2 linked regions of the Drosophila melanogaster genome follow. The protein of the gene in region 1 purifies or fractionates together with the protein of each later gene. This does not show direct contact. Each region holds a gene or a part of one and is shown on either strand. Other genes may lie near its edges.

Region 1 (5,882 bases):
GGCAAGAAAAACACGTGTGCGCAATTGATTTAGAAATTGTTTTCTATTTCCCTCACAGGCGACATCATCAAACGCATCGACAGCTACTACAAAACCGGACAAACAAAGGCCAAATCAGCCAAACTTCAGTTTCCCGACAAGGAAAAGGACACGGAAAAGCTAGAGGAAGATGTGGACTCCCCGAAGAACGAAATCGAAACCTTTTCGGAGCAGGAAATCCAAAGTTCTCCTAATCTGAATCAAACGCTTTTAGCTCCCAGCACTGGGCAGTCGAGAAGCACCCTAAATGCCATGCTTCTCCAGCGATGTGGCACAAAAATTGAGTTGGGCATTGAATCGAAACTGCTGGTGATGGCTGGTCAAACAGCTACGCTACTCTTTGAGGTCACCAACATGAAAACGGAAACGGTTTACTCCACCATTCAAGTCACCGACGAGCGGCGCTTCTTGGTTCAACTGAATCCTACCAGGTTGGAGCGCTTAAGAGCGAAGTCTTTGGTTTACACATTATATATCTTACGTACTTCTGCCTTTGTAGATTAAGCCTGCGCGCCCAGGAGACGGCTACAGTGCGTCTGACTGTTCTGGTGCCCACTGGCACAGCTCAGGGCACCACAGACCGGATTACCTTCACCAATTACGGTCGCGAAACATCTACTCTGGCGGTAAATCTTAAAGTGGTGACTAGCATAGATGCTCAGGTATGTGAACAGCCGATAACCTGATTATGAAAGCATAATTGAAATGTTTAAATATAATTTCCAGGACTCAACTGGACCTACACTATCCTGGGAGTTTGGCAGCCGCTGTGATTACCTGACGCCCGAATCCCAGAATTGTGGTGAACGTTTTTGGACTGTGGATGTGACCGCTCAGGACTGGCAGTCAGGCATGATGCGTTTGCAGGCCTCGCCGCCAGAGGGTCTTTTCTACAGAAACTATTATACTGCTGGTAGCACAGAGCCCCTGAAGGCAACCTACATGGCCTCTTGCTGCGAACCAAAGGTATCACTCATCGCTTTCGATGCGGCCGGGAACCAGAGAAGCCTCACCATCGATGTCAGAGATGTGTATTTGAACGAGGCCGCCATTGCAGCCATTTGCCTTGGAGTCATTCTCCTGATCCTGCTTATTGCAGCCCTCATATGGAGCATTGTGTGGTGTTGCAGACGGAGGAAGACAACGCTGGAGCTGCCCACATATAGATCCCACTCCACTAGGAGCATGGAGTAGATTGTTGTTATGTTATTGTGCCAAGTTAGAACCTATGTGGTCTCGAAGTCTAATAAAATGCCATAGAAGTACCAGATATACAATATGGCACCGTTTTACTAAATGTATGCAAATATTTAGGATACAATTGTTTGTCCCTGCATAAACTACTGAAACGAAGTGCAACTTAAAAAAAGTAGTATAAACAATGTCGGTGATTTCAAACGATTAAATGGACTTAACTAATGTCTTATTTAGGAAAACTATTATAATATATCTATATATTTGTTCAGCTAGTAGTAGGTATACATATTTGTTTAAGCCAAAATAAGTGCTGACCTGACCCATTCCTCTATACACTGAAAGTAGTTTATATTAACTTGATCCGTGATAAAGTCAACCCCAGTTTATGAAGAGGGTAAGAAGGTCAAGTGCCTTGCCAGGCTTATCAGCTTATCATTATAGCAGCCGAGCAACAGGTGACCCCCACTCCGCGTTAGATTCACGAACGTACGGTGACCCACTTACCGCGATTCAAGATGCCAGCGATGAGGACGGGCGCCGCTGGAGGCGTGGCATGGACCACGGGCGGGGCGGCTGGCAGGAGCTGCGGCTTGTTGGGGAAGTCGTCGAAACTCAGGCCGGTCACGGAGGCGCTCAGAAGCGGATTTTTAACGACACGCGTCTGGTTTGCGTTGTTGTTTACGCGAGCGGACACGTCACCTTTCGATCTTTCCGACATATTAGCGGCCGATCTGGAGCTTTAAATTGGGCTAACTCGATATGAAGATGTGTGCCAAGTGCACAGTTGCCTTAGGAATTATTTTTATACACAGGATATTGACACCCACGACGGATTAAAAGCGTTAAACCCGAGAAAACTTCCAGGCAGGCAATATTCTGCTTCTTTCCGCGCATTGGCCATTCGCCATGGAAAGCTTTTACCAGGGCTGCAGCGGATCCAGAAATGGATAGGCAAAAGCTGGTAATCAAAATATGCTTATAACATATATATTCCTAGCTAGTTTTAACTGGGAAAGAGTATGAAATCTCCGTGACTACCATAAACAAATTTTCAAAAATCCAAATAAACAGCAAAAATAGCCAAATATTGCTTTTGCTGCAGCCCTAATTCTCGGATATTATTTCGAATTGCAATTTGGGAAGAAGAAGAGTGAAGTAGATAAATCTTGATGATTTCTGCAAATATTAGTTTTTAAATAAAATTAATGGATTTGTAGAAACTCTGACCGTATTAATCGAGTTTAGGACTACAAGTGCCGTAAGCCCCGTCATGCCACTGTTTTAAAACAAGTGGAAAACCTTAGGGTCAATTTTTTTTGGGGAGGAGACCACAACAAATAACACCCACCGAATTAACTACGATTACTCATCGCCGGAATGTCTGGAAATCCTTTCGACAGCGACGAAGATCAAAGCTCGGCCAGTGGAGAGATACTAGAGGGCTTCCTATGTCCCATTTGCCGTGCGGATCTCAAGTCCATCGATGTGCTCACGGATCATTTTGCCCGCCAGCATGCGGAAGAGGAGGATGCCCTAAAATCCTTTAAAGATATCTTTACCAAGGCGAAAAAGAAGATCCTAAACCCCTTTGAGGATGAAAAAGGTGCATCTGTATCGTCGCCCGCAGGTTCCTCCTCTTCAGCGGCTGGCAAGAATCCCAATGGCAACGGAGATCGCAATGGACCCAGTAATGCCCGCTCCCGTCTAAATGTATTTAACTATATGGCCAGGCAGCAGCCTGGTGCTGAGTGCTCCCACTTCGAGTACTTTCAGTCCATTCGCAATCCTCGCCTGGAGCGATATGCCAGCGAAACAAACAAACTAATCATTCGTTTGCACCGCCTGCTTAAGGATCTGCCAGCGGATTCAGTGCAGCGGCGTCAGCATGAACAGCAAACAGTTGCCTGGCTGGATGGTAGTTCCGTCAAGTTGTGTCCCAGTTGTGCCAAGAGTTTCCACATCGCCCGAAGACAACACCACTGCCGTTTGTGCGGAGGCATAATGTGCAATGATTGCTCCAAGTTCCTGCCCCTGGAAGATGCCAGTTTGTAGATCCAATAATTGAGGAAAATAATGTAACTTATTTGATTATAATCCCGCAGTGCAACTAGCCAGTCTTTCCACCACAAGAAGCGAGCCCCTTCAGCAGCTGCATCAGCATGAGAACGCCATCCGGCTGTGCGAACACTGCCTTTGGCTGCTGGACACCCGAAAGGATATGCACGAAAGTCGCACTTGTCGCCCACTCCTCGTCCAGGTCTACGAACAAATTCGTCAACTACAAAAAGAAGTTACCCCGGATCTGGACATGTATCTAAAGATCATCAATAGCTTGAACGAAGGGGACACAATCTTCACGTTGGCGGATGCAGGTGCTTTGCGCGGCAAGATTGGACAAGTGGCAGAGGCCATGGACATGAGGAGCAAGCGCATTCTAGCCATATTTTGTGAACCAGGCAGCCGGGAGGAGGCATTAAAGAAGGCCATTCGGTTGGGCTGCATCCAAGCCATCAAGGAGCGAATGTTATCGCTGCCCCCACTGCCAGAGGAATCGCACATACGCCAGATGCAGGAGCGTAGACGCATGGAAACGGAGCAGCGTATCCTCACCGAACAGCGCATGGCCATGGAAGCCTACGAACGAAATAACATGGCAGCTAACCAATCCAACGTTGGAGTTCCTGGTCCGGAAAGCGGATCCTTTGCCCAAGGGGTATGTAGACGAGGACTCTCTGCAAAGATCAATATGTAACCTCTGTGATTCCATTTGCTTCACAGTCTGATCTTCAATCTCTGAACAACTGGTCAGCACCGCAGGCGGCTAGCAAGTCCAGCCTGGACGATCCGCTGATCGAGCAGATAAACATCATTAAGGGCTACATCAAACAGGCTCGCCAGGACATGAACTTTGAGGTGGTGGAGACGCTGGAGCTAAATCTTCGCGAGCTACAGCGCGAAGTGTACGAGCGACAGCGCCAGTCCCAGGGAAGCACCGCCGCCTCACCCACAGAGGCCTAAGCAGTATCCTACATAGTTAAATGTATATTCATTCCCTCTATGACAAATTACATGGCTTACGTTACGTTACGAATTTGTGGTGTATATTGTGCGAAAAATTTTAGTTTGTGCGAAGTTTCTGTAAATCAAAGTTTGTGCGTTTGACGACAACTGAGACTATAAAATGCAACATCCTATTTCGATTGAGTCTATGACTTCAGGCCAACGGCAGCGATCAGTGCCTTGACCTTGGTAATGTAGGCGGCCTGGGCGTCGGTATTGCTCATTCCCTTGCGGTTGTTCCACGCCTCCCACTTGGCCTTGCCCTTGAAGTCCAGAAAGCCGGGCTTATCTGCATTGGATTAGAATTATCGATGGTGCAGCGGAGTGACGACTATGTCCGAGACCCACCTGTATTGCAATCCCCCACAGTGGCCTGTTTGTACAAGCTGTAGAGCTCCAAAAGGTCATTGTCCCCGGGTGTGGTGTTTAGGTTCTTAACATCTTCGGCCGCCTGGTTGAATTCCTGTTTAGGTTAAGTTTGAATAGGTAATCAGACTTTAAGATACGAATGCGTATTTGACGTAGATTCAGTTCACCTGCAATTCGGACATTTTTGTATCTATTTTTTAACTAGTGGAAGTCTTTGGAAAAGAAATTGCACGATTTTACTTCACCGAATCTATCGGCGTCTATCGATATCTGGTCTATACTTTTGTGTGACCAACAGTTTTTCAATTTAGAGTGGACAAGCTGTTGCGTTTTATTTCGCGGGTCTGGCAGCCTATACACTTAAAAGATTCGAAGTCTAATTTCATATTGAGAACTGAGATACATTATTACGATGATAGTTAGGAACATGTGTAACAGTTGGTAGACAGTTTCTTGCCAAAACAATTGTGTTTTGAAAAAAGCTATGGAATAATATGAACAATATCCAAAATAGTCCGTTAAGATTTTCAAGACATTAACGAAATATTTTAAAAACCTTCCAATGTTGATTGTCTCAATTGAACATCTTTCAGCCCACTGTCCTGCTCTCTCCAAATGTGGCAACAAAAATGAGAGGCTTATGGCGCGTGAAACATGATTTCTATTAGTAACATATGGAGTAATGATGTGCTGTACGTCAACGTTTTGAACAGTTGTACATAGTAATTAAAATGTATCAATATTAAGAGGAAATTTAATATATAACTACTTCTTAAATACACAAAATACAATTGATTTCTAGCATATGTGGCCATATTAGACATCATCAATACATGAATTTAACTCATTTCATGATATGACACCCGCATAAACGCATTGTGAGAGCGGGAGAGCGTGGGTATTTAAGGAGAAGGTAGCGCTAACCACTCATTCAGTTCGAAATGTTTTCATCTGCGTTGGTCGTGCGTCCGGTGCTCCGCTAAAAGTAACAAAAAGTGCACAAATTGCCGGGAGAAAATGTTACATTAACGATATTTTCGGTTAATGCTGAGCACACGGATACGGATACTACGCTATATACGCAGTTCGCAACCAAAATCGATGCAATACGCGGATTTGGGCAAACACAACGCAGTGCCTGTAAAAATCGAAGCCGAAACGAAACAATAACAAATGCGCTAAAGTTCTTACCAAATAATTTGCACCGTCAGAAAAAG
Region 2 (9,164 bases), on another chromosome or scaffold:
ACTGGTCCCAGCCCATTGAAGATGCCATCTGTGCGCGGCTTGTCCTTGTTGCAGATCCACTCGTGCTCTCCGTAGCCGGCATCGATGCCCTCGCCCTTCATGTAGCCGAATGGTGAGACATGGTCGTCGATGACTCCCTCGAAGGCACCACCTGTGGAAGAGGCGATGAATGGATGGAGAGGTCAGTGTGGCATTCGATACTCTGTGTGCGCCATAAATTTGCATTAATTAAGCATGTAATCTAAGTTGATCGGTGCGTCGCCGTGCACAAACATTCAATTTGAGGCAATTAAAACCTTTAGATCGCTCTGGCTCCAATTGACGTCGCCGCCGCCGTTCCGTGACTAGGCCGGCTGACCGACTTAAGCATGTACTTTGCCGGCTACTTTAACTGGGCAATTGTGGTGCAGTGCATTCTGGGGGGGGGCAATTGAGATGGGCGGTGCAGGTTGTAAAGTGCGATCTCAATTAACTTTTTGAAGTTGCTCAATTCGTTTGCGGTCTCTTTGCAATTGAAAAGGGCCCTCCGGGTGGCATGGCTTGGAGATCATTGAGTTCCCATTCCATTATTCTAAGTAAATCAATACTGTATATTCAATCGGTGCCACTGACTTATGGAATCAACTACTGTGCGTGTTGCTTACGGCCATATCAGTCCCTGTCCCCGTCTCCGGCTCCGCCTCATTTTCAACTTCAGGATCAGGATCTGGTTTGGTTTCTAACTCGAAGTCAGAGCCAGACTCATGCTCCAGCTCTGCCTGAGGCATAGATTGCGTTTCTGGACCGGGATCGGCATCCTTATCGCTCTCGACATTGCCCACCCGACTAGTGCAACTGCTGAACAGGCGGAGCTGCTGCTGGCGCAGATTCTGCAGCCAGCGATCGAAGCGCTCCGCGAACTGCTCCCGTTGCGAGCCGGGTGTCAGAAGAGCTGGCTCGTCGGCCACATCGAAATCGTCGTCGGAGTCCACTTGGGTATGCAAGAAATAGAGAGAAAGATGGTTGACAGTGGAGCATAGCACAACTGCTAAGTGCGGCAGTGCGACTCGGACGTGGAAATCAAACCGAGTTTAATTAGTGGGCCAATGGCGAAAACGAAAAGTACGAAGAACCAAAAGAACGGCGAACAGAAGAACTGATTTCTGCAAGATCGTGTCAGATATGTGTACAACTATTTAGCGACATACTGCTAAACATGTGATGCCGATCCCCATATTCAAGATGTGCTGGTGATGAAGTGATGGTGACGGTGGAGGCAGTGACTCAAGGCACGGTCCACATAAGTTCCATTTCGAATGGAGTGTCAATTCCATTGTCAAATCAACCGAAACTATGAAGACATCACTACCCAAAGCACTTATCTTGCTGGCTGAGCTAGCCAAGTCAATTATCCAAGACAATACAACGGAAATGCTAGCAAATGAAAGCAAACTGTGCAGCGAACGCAACGAAAATAAAATCAGAGATACAGATACAGATACATACACTCATTCACTCACTCACTCGCCCATGCACTAAATTAGAGCCCCAAGTTCTTGACTTTGATTTCGATTCGGTTCGCTTTATCAACGCATTCCGCCTCTCTTTTTCAGGGGTACAACCATCGAAATTCCTTCTGGTGTAATAATAAACGAGAAGTTCATTCACTTGTCGGGTCCAATTTAAAAGGAGGGGGCTATCGAATTTTACCCAAATCGAATGTCGAGGTGACCGAGACTGCGGATGGATGACACATGCGTTGAGATATTGATCTCCCACCCATGACATCAGTCGATCGCCAATCGTATTATGCTTGGATTTGCCCCAGCGAAACGTATTTGCTCGGCTATGTGGAATACTTTCGCACAAGGTCAGGCCAAAATACGCTAATAGTTGAATTAAAAGGCCACTCAAGTGGTCAGCAAACCAAAAGGCAAACAGTAGAGATCAGACAATAGCATTGTGGCGACTGGATTGCCACCGAGCCGTATATCATAGAGTAAAATGCTTTCTTCCTGCACTTAGCGCTAGTTCATCTGAATTCCGTGGGCCCCTTCGTGGAATTCACGAGCGGATTAGACGGAGGATGAGCCACTTAGTGCCACACGCCCCAAGTCACAATCGGAGAGCATCAAATTGATACGCGGCCTCAGGTTGCCAACGCCAGCAATACATGTACTCGTATGCGACTGCAACCGGTTCGGTTTACAGATCATATATACGTACATATGTATATAATCGCCAGAGGTGGGTTGTGGCGATGGGTTGACCAGGGATCGTCTGGGCGAACTGGGCGTGGGGATTATTCTGGGTGCTGTTTGATCAGCTGGACGACAATCTCTCCTCCTCGGAGGCAGCACATATTGGAATGTATATATACATATGTATATTTACTATTCCAATTCTAAGTTGCCTGGCATATTGGAAGATAATTATTTTCGTTCTCCTTGTCTGGCGGCTTTGTATACTGAATTAATCCAATCACACGCCTTTCCGTTGTAGTTTTATAGTGTTTCATTGGGCACAACACCATTAGCTGGCATGATAAGGAGCATTGATAAATGGCAAGAGAATGCTGACAGTGCCTTCTACTCGCACGATAAAAAAAGGTTTGTGCATGCAAAACGGATGATTACATAAATGAGCAATCAAATTAGTTACTGGCTTTCCATATAAGTTGCTTGCTCAGCAAGCAATGATCCCTAAAGCTGAATATAATTACAAGTTTTACGGTGGACAACCTTTGAGCCCCTCATAATATACATATGCACTAGTTCTGATAATTTCGGCTTTTATTGTTTGAAATATGCCAAAAATTGCACGGCCAGTAGCCGCAACTTGTTGCCTAATTACGCTAAACAGCGTAAGAGCAGATAAACAAACTAAATGAGCATACTTGATGCTTGAAATTAGAGCAGTGCTAGTAGAGGAACATGCCCAGACTTTTGTCGACTGATAAGACATGATTTGATGATGGCATGCTGACTCGGCCTTACATTGATTTTTATCTAGGGTAACGTGCAGTACGGCCAACTAGAAGTTGCCTAGCAACCCGATAAGGGTTGACAAACAGGCCACTTTGGCTCGACCCACTAACGAATGCATGGGGGAAAGCGAACAGGTGCGCGGCACTGGGCCTTGAACTCTGGGCCACGCACGAAGGTCGGAGGTCACAGTAACAGGGCGAACCGGTGGAGCAGCCAGCTTGCATCGAATCGAATTAGACTTTCAATTAGGGTTTACTTTTTTCCGACTGCAATGCGACTGGCGCCTCTAGACTCTGATTAACTGAGTTACTACTACCACCTCCTACTGCTCCTCCTCGAATGCTCAACGCTTAAATGCGATTATATTGCTGGGCGTTTTGGCTCGGCATCGAGTGCGTGGTATTCGTCATGGTTGCCTGGATGCGTCTGCTCCGGAGAGCCAGATCCGATTCAGCCTGGGTACTCGAGTGTGAAATATTTATCATGCCCAACTGTACGCCTGCTATTATTTTCTTTTTTCCCCTCTCTGATGACTCATGGCCCAATTAGAACGAACCCTGCACTGCTCCAAGCTATCGGTATTTTCCAATGATTACATCATGGCCACGAATCTTATCACGTTGCGGGGAGAAAACAGTCAACTTGGCTGAGTTCCTACCCATGACGAAAGCAAGCCGATAATTATTGACACATATGAATAGTAAAATTTTTCGGTTTGCCACGCCCCAGCCCGCCACTGGCGCCCATTTTTCAAGTACAAAGCAATTGGCTATCACATTTTGGGTAGCAGAGTATTTGCAAGAGATAGGAAAGAAAATACGTGGTTTTGTGGCGCTATTTTCTTCCACCTCGATGTTGAGTTTGCCACAGAAAGTGCGTTTGTGTGGCTGGCCTAAGCGCTAAATTGACACCGACTTTTTGCTCGCTCGTCTTATCAGTTTTCGGTGCTTATCACTTTGTTTATATAGTAGCTCAAATATGTTTCGCTCATAGTATAGGGTTTATATATAGTCGTTGCCAGGCATTGCATAATTGGCCAGTCAGCGAAAAGAGGAAGCTGTGCATGCGGGCCAAAGAAAAGCTTCGATTTTTGGATCGCTCCCACTGGCTTTGTTTTTCGCTGGCAATTTGAATTGTGATTGTAATTGTATATCCATTAAATACGTTTGGCTGCGGTCTAGCTGTAGCTGTGGCTCATACTTTGGCCGTATCCGAAGCCAAGCCGCTCACTCCGCTTGGCAAAACTCGTTTTTTTCGCATTTTGGCCCGTCTGGAAATCTGGGTTAACTGGCGCATTTTTCTAGCTGCGCATGCGCAATATTTCGGTGCGATGGGAAAGCGAAAACGCGCCAGTGAAATGCCCGCGGAAAACCAAGAGATTTCTCGAGATCTTCGCGGGCACGAGTCGGATGTCTGGTTGCCCGAGCAAGTGCAGTGTGACTAATGCGGCAAAGCGGTGCTTAATCATTCACTCTCTTGGGGACTTACCCTTGACGATTGGGTCCGCGACCATGGTCATCTCCTCCTGGGGAATCATCTCCATCAGGCGGGCAATGTCCTTGGCCAGCATGTTGTCCACGATGTCCAGCAGATGGGGCTTGAGGGAGTGGAACTTGGTGAAGTCCTGGTGCTGCAGGACCTCCTGCATCTTCTTGATGTCGGGGAAGTCGCCGGGAGAAATGGAGTGCTCGCGCTGGATGCGATCGTATACCTGGCCGAGGTTCTTAATCAAGTCCTTCTTCTTGCTGTCCTTGCCGAACACAGAGGGCATGTCCTTGCGCAGCTCGGCAATGATGAAGGCATGCACCTTGGCCAGGCGCGCCCGCTTGATCAGATCGTTCAGCTTGCGCAGGGCGGCGTTACGCGGCAGGGACTGCAGATCCCTGAACAGATCCTGTTCCTCGTCCTCGAACAGTCGGCGGTTGGCGTCGAAGCGCAGCGGCTGGTCCCAGAAGGAGCCGATGTAGACACGAGCCACCTCCGGCGTCTGCAGCACCTTGCCCAGCGACCACATCAGTGCTCCGTACACCCGCATTAACTGTTGGTGATCAATCATGTCGGCCTTGTTCAGGATAATACGGATCTTGTCGTCGTGTCCCTTGAGCGCCTCGATCGAGCGCCGGAACTCGTCGGAGATGTCCAGTTTGTGGGCGTCGAAGAGCAGGATGATGCGGTCCACGCGCTCCGCGAACCACTCCAGCACGCCGGTGAAGTCGTAGCCCCTGTCGATGCGCTGCTTTTCGCCGGAGAGAATTCCGGGCGTGTCCACGATGGAGATGGCGTTCAGCACCGGCGAGGCCACACTGCTGCATTGGAAGCGATTCAGGAAGGCGTTGCCGTACTTGGACAGCGGCCGGAACTGCTTCTTGGGGTCCACAACCAGGGCGTTGCCCGGTATCACGCCCTCCTTGTCGTCGTACATCACGGCGATGAAGCGGTCCGTCGTTGGCTCCGGACCAATTCTAATGCCCGGAAAGTCGCGTTCCAGCAGATAGCGGATGAAGGTCGTCTTGCCCGTGGAGTACTGGCCCACCAGCAGGATCATGGGCTTCGCATCGAAGTCTGGATCCTCGAGCTTTGGCGAGTGAAAGTCGTGGAACTGGTAGTGCTCCTCCAGCGGCAGCAACTTGCTCCGATAGATCTTCTTCAGCTCGCCGATCACATTCTCCACTACCTCCTGGGTGTTCTTCTCGCGCTTCAGAAAGCTAAACATGTCGCAAGACTCTAATATTAGCCACCGAAATTAAAGGGGAAATTGGATTTGGAAACGGGGGACGCGGCCGGATTCGGGTTGGTGCTGGCGCGGATGTCACGGAGGCGACGACTACGGCAGTTATGTTATGTGTCTACACTCGATTGTCGCGCTGCGCTGGGTCGTGTGGCGAGTGATTCACGCGCGTACGTATACGTATTATTTTTGGAATACGACTTTTTTCGGTCCAGATAGCGGACCAATCAACGTGACCACGCCAGAGACAACGAAGAAATACCACAGAGTCTTCGGATAAATACTGCAATATACCAAGAGCGTCAAAGAAATACCAGCCCGTCAACGGCCTTAATTTAAACTAATTAATCTAATTTTGAAATTATACTCATATTTATCGTAACTAACTAACTATTATTCCTGTACTATATTTTTCGCTTTAAAACAAATTGTCATTGACAATGAACATAAATAATCGGCGCCTATCGATAACGGTCCACATTTGCGCGGCGGTCACACTTTTCTTGCAAGCGCGAACTTATATCGAATTCAAATTGTGTAAATATAGGATTGCTCACCTGTCGCCTGCTTCTGGGCGTGGCATCTTGATTTATTAGTAAGCAAATAAAACGTTAAATTTACGGGCCTTCCAAAATATATGCAACAAACAACTGTTAAAAAGCACTAATCTTTTGTTTCTGTGATTTTACACTAAAACGCGGCTAGCATTATCACTTAATAGAAATTTGCTTTTTTTTTGGTAAAAATTTATATATACAATGTGGCAAGCAAGTGTATTTAAAACACTGAGCCTACGTCGTTCATCAAAATTTAACCTCAGCTGTGATTTCAAAAATTCAGGGCTTCAGAAGTTCCACATCTGTGTGAGGAACCGCCGGATCCAGTCCAAAATTCATCTTCATGATGTCACAAAACACGGACAGGAATATGAAGGCATCTATGAAGTGGTTGATGGCGAAGCCCCGATTTCGATCCTTGGTATTATGCATATTGATGAGGGACTGAATGACCAGCAAGAGTCCAGCAGCCACCTGTTTGCGAAGGTAAGAGAAAATGCAATGCCTTGGTATCAATACATTCATTTATTTCCCTCTACAACTTAGGTTTGCATTAGCCTTAAAGTACATATTTGTATGAATATAAGTGTAAATCGTTGGATCTCTAGATTTTACGGTGTCTTTTCGTGCTGATCGAGAAGTCGGAGCGGCTGCGATGAGTACTCTATGCCGAAACCGGATATGATAACGTTCACCACGGATATTATGAACACGACTACCAAAATGACATCGTTCAGGATGACCGCTGCCGTCTGATCCTGCTGCCTGTTTATGTTGAGACTCCCGATGACCACGAACAGAATGCCCACCAAAAGCTGTCAAAATGGGGAATGAGGAATGCATTAGAAACGGAAGCGTACAATCCCTACCATGCCCACCCTCTAGTCCTAGTTGTTTAGAAAGTCGCCCTGTGGCGGAGGCAATCGACTGTCAAAGGCCGAGATGAACAGATTGATCATGGTCGTGAAGAAGGCGAAGCCCGTGCGCACATGGTTAATGATATTGGCCGACTGATGAAACTCCGGCTGATGCAGCCGGCAATCCCGCAGCAGGCTCAGGGACAGGCTCAGCACGCCCGACAGGACCTGCACAGAGAAAAACATAACTATCAGTTCCATATTGTCATTTGGATCTAGCCAAGTTTTTCCGAGTGTGATGGATTTCATTAGGATACACATTTATGTTTTTCTCTGTGCCTGACACTTAGAGAATAAGAATCTACAGTGATTATATACTCACCTGCATGACTATGGACAGACTGATCAGGATCAGCATCAGCTTGTAGAACTGGTGCTGTTCGCCCACCTGGAGGATGTACTTCAGCTGCGAGGCATTGGCGGTCAGCAGGGCGATGTCCAGCATGCCCTGGGCGATCGTCTTCTTGGTGGCATACCTATTGGCATCCATTGCCTTCATCTAAAATATAGGGTATATATGTACATATATGAGTATTTGAATTCAGGATATAAAGTCTGCAGAACCGAAAGATACATTTTCGAGGAAAGTGGTCATGATGGCGCTGCAACAGTCACTTTAAAAGTGAATGAATCTTAAAGATCGCTTTCAAAGTAATTCCTTATCTATTGCCATTTGTGTCAGATCTTGTGCCGATAAGAAAACAGAACATCGCAGCTCCGAGTAATGAAAAATAGGCTAACATTCAGGGCAAGGGTTACAAACACAAATGTGCATAGTAAATAAAAAGCATACATCATTGAAAACTAACCTGCCAAGCATTTTTTACTGGTTTCTGTGGGGAAACAAAGGATTCAGCCATACTGCAAGGATAATTACCACAAAAGGATGCAATTCCCATAACAATTACAAAATCAATATGAGAACAAATGCTTTTCGCACAGCTCATCGCAGTTTAAAAGTGCATAAGGCCAACGAGTCGGATATACAACATTTTTGAATTGCACGAACAGTTGGAACAAAGACAATAATTACCCGGACTGGCAATTACGGATGGAATGGAAATGGGGATGTGGACACGATGGTGTGTCTCATTCGCTCGAACAAATAAATAATTCAAGACCAGGAATATATGGCTAAGATCAAGGTCGGTGGGTGCTCGGAATGTGAATACATTGGAATATCTTCAGATATGAGATATTTGTATTTTGACTTACCTCATTTTCGTTAACCCGCTGCAAACCTGATGCCATAATGAATGAATCTTTGGTTTTTCGGTTTTGCTTTCGGTTGGAGCTTTGTTTTTCGCCACACACCACTGCACTTTGGATCAGTTTTTGTGTCAGTCAAAAGAACTCACAACAACATTCAATTCAAGTTGTTTCGGTTTTCATTGTCTCCTGAAATTGGCAACTAATTGTTTGTGCTTGGAGCGGCGTTGTCGTGGCGACGGTTGCCGACACAACCAAGCGATTTAACAACTGGCGGAGAACTGAATTCAGAAATCCCGTCCAGAGAGCACTACCCGATTCGAATGATTCGGCCATTCAGTATACTTGGCCAGAAAGAGAGTGCTACAAGCTGGAAAGAGTGTTTTTGAGTAGCCATGACTAATGGCAGTGGTTTGAAAATGTATTGATTTCATTCAGCATGTTCTATATGGCTCATATATCCTTTGGTAGAAAGACCAGTTCTTACCTTTAATTTATGTCTTTGATGATATTTTGAGTTTATTTTATTTATATTTCTTATTTTGGTTTGCATCACAGTGAGCTGAGTCTCTCACAACAGTACAATTTACACACAGCTTTAGTTAGGAGTTTTAAAAAAGAAATTTAAATATATTTCGTTGAAAGATTTATAAAAAAAAAGAACCATGGAATTTGCCATACCAGAGGCTCAGTACTGGGACGTTTCGAAGAAATCCCAAAAAGATCGTCAGATGATTCGTAAATTCGTGCCCGAGGCGGTCGACCTGGCCACCATAAGTCGTGCAGA

What was found.
Region 2: the proteins of Rbsn-5 (region 1) and Past1 purify together in Drosophila melanogaster (affinity purification with western blotting, with the first as the bait; one study listed by BioGRID). This does not show direct contact.

The regions. Positions count from the first base shown.
Region 1 is NT_033779.5:8,157,479-8,163,360, forward strand, and holds Rbsn-5 (Rabenosyn-5), read left to right. Parts: upstream 1-2,353; 5' UTR 2,354-2,613; coding exon 2,614-3,280; intron 3,281-3,338; coding exon 3,339-3,949; intron 3,950-4,014; coding exon 4,015-4,254; 3' UTR 4,255-4,322; downstream 4,323-5,882. Other genes in the region: PAPLA1 (phosphatidic acid phospholipase A1), read right to left, coding at 1,741-1,954; CG43394 (uncharacterized protein), read left to right, coding at 59-470, 539-701, 766-1,233; Acbp1 (Acyl-CoA binding protein 1), read right to left, coding at 4,443-4,585, 4,645-4,759, 4,833-4,847.
Region 2 is NT_033777.3:12,694,626-12,703,789, reverse strand, and holds the start of Past1 (putative achaete scute target 1), read right to left. Parts: upstream 6,469-9,164; 5' UTR 6,278-6,468; coding exon 6,252-6,277; intron 5,960-6,251; exon of another isoform or gene 5,680-5,959; coding exon of another isoform or gene 5,672-5,679; coding exon 4,455-5,671; intron 152-4,454; coding exon 1-151. Other genes in the region: NijC (ninjurin C), read right to left, coding at 6,863-7,066, 7,491-7,667, 8,384-8,419; CG14391 (uncharacterized protein), read left to right, coding at 9,043-9,164.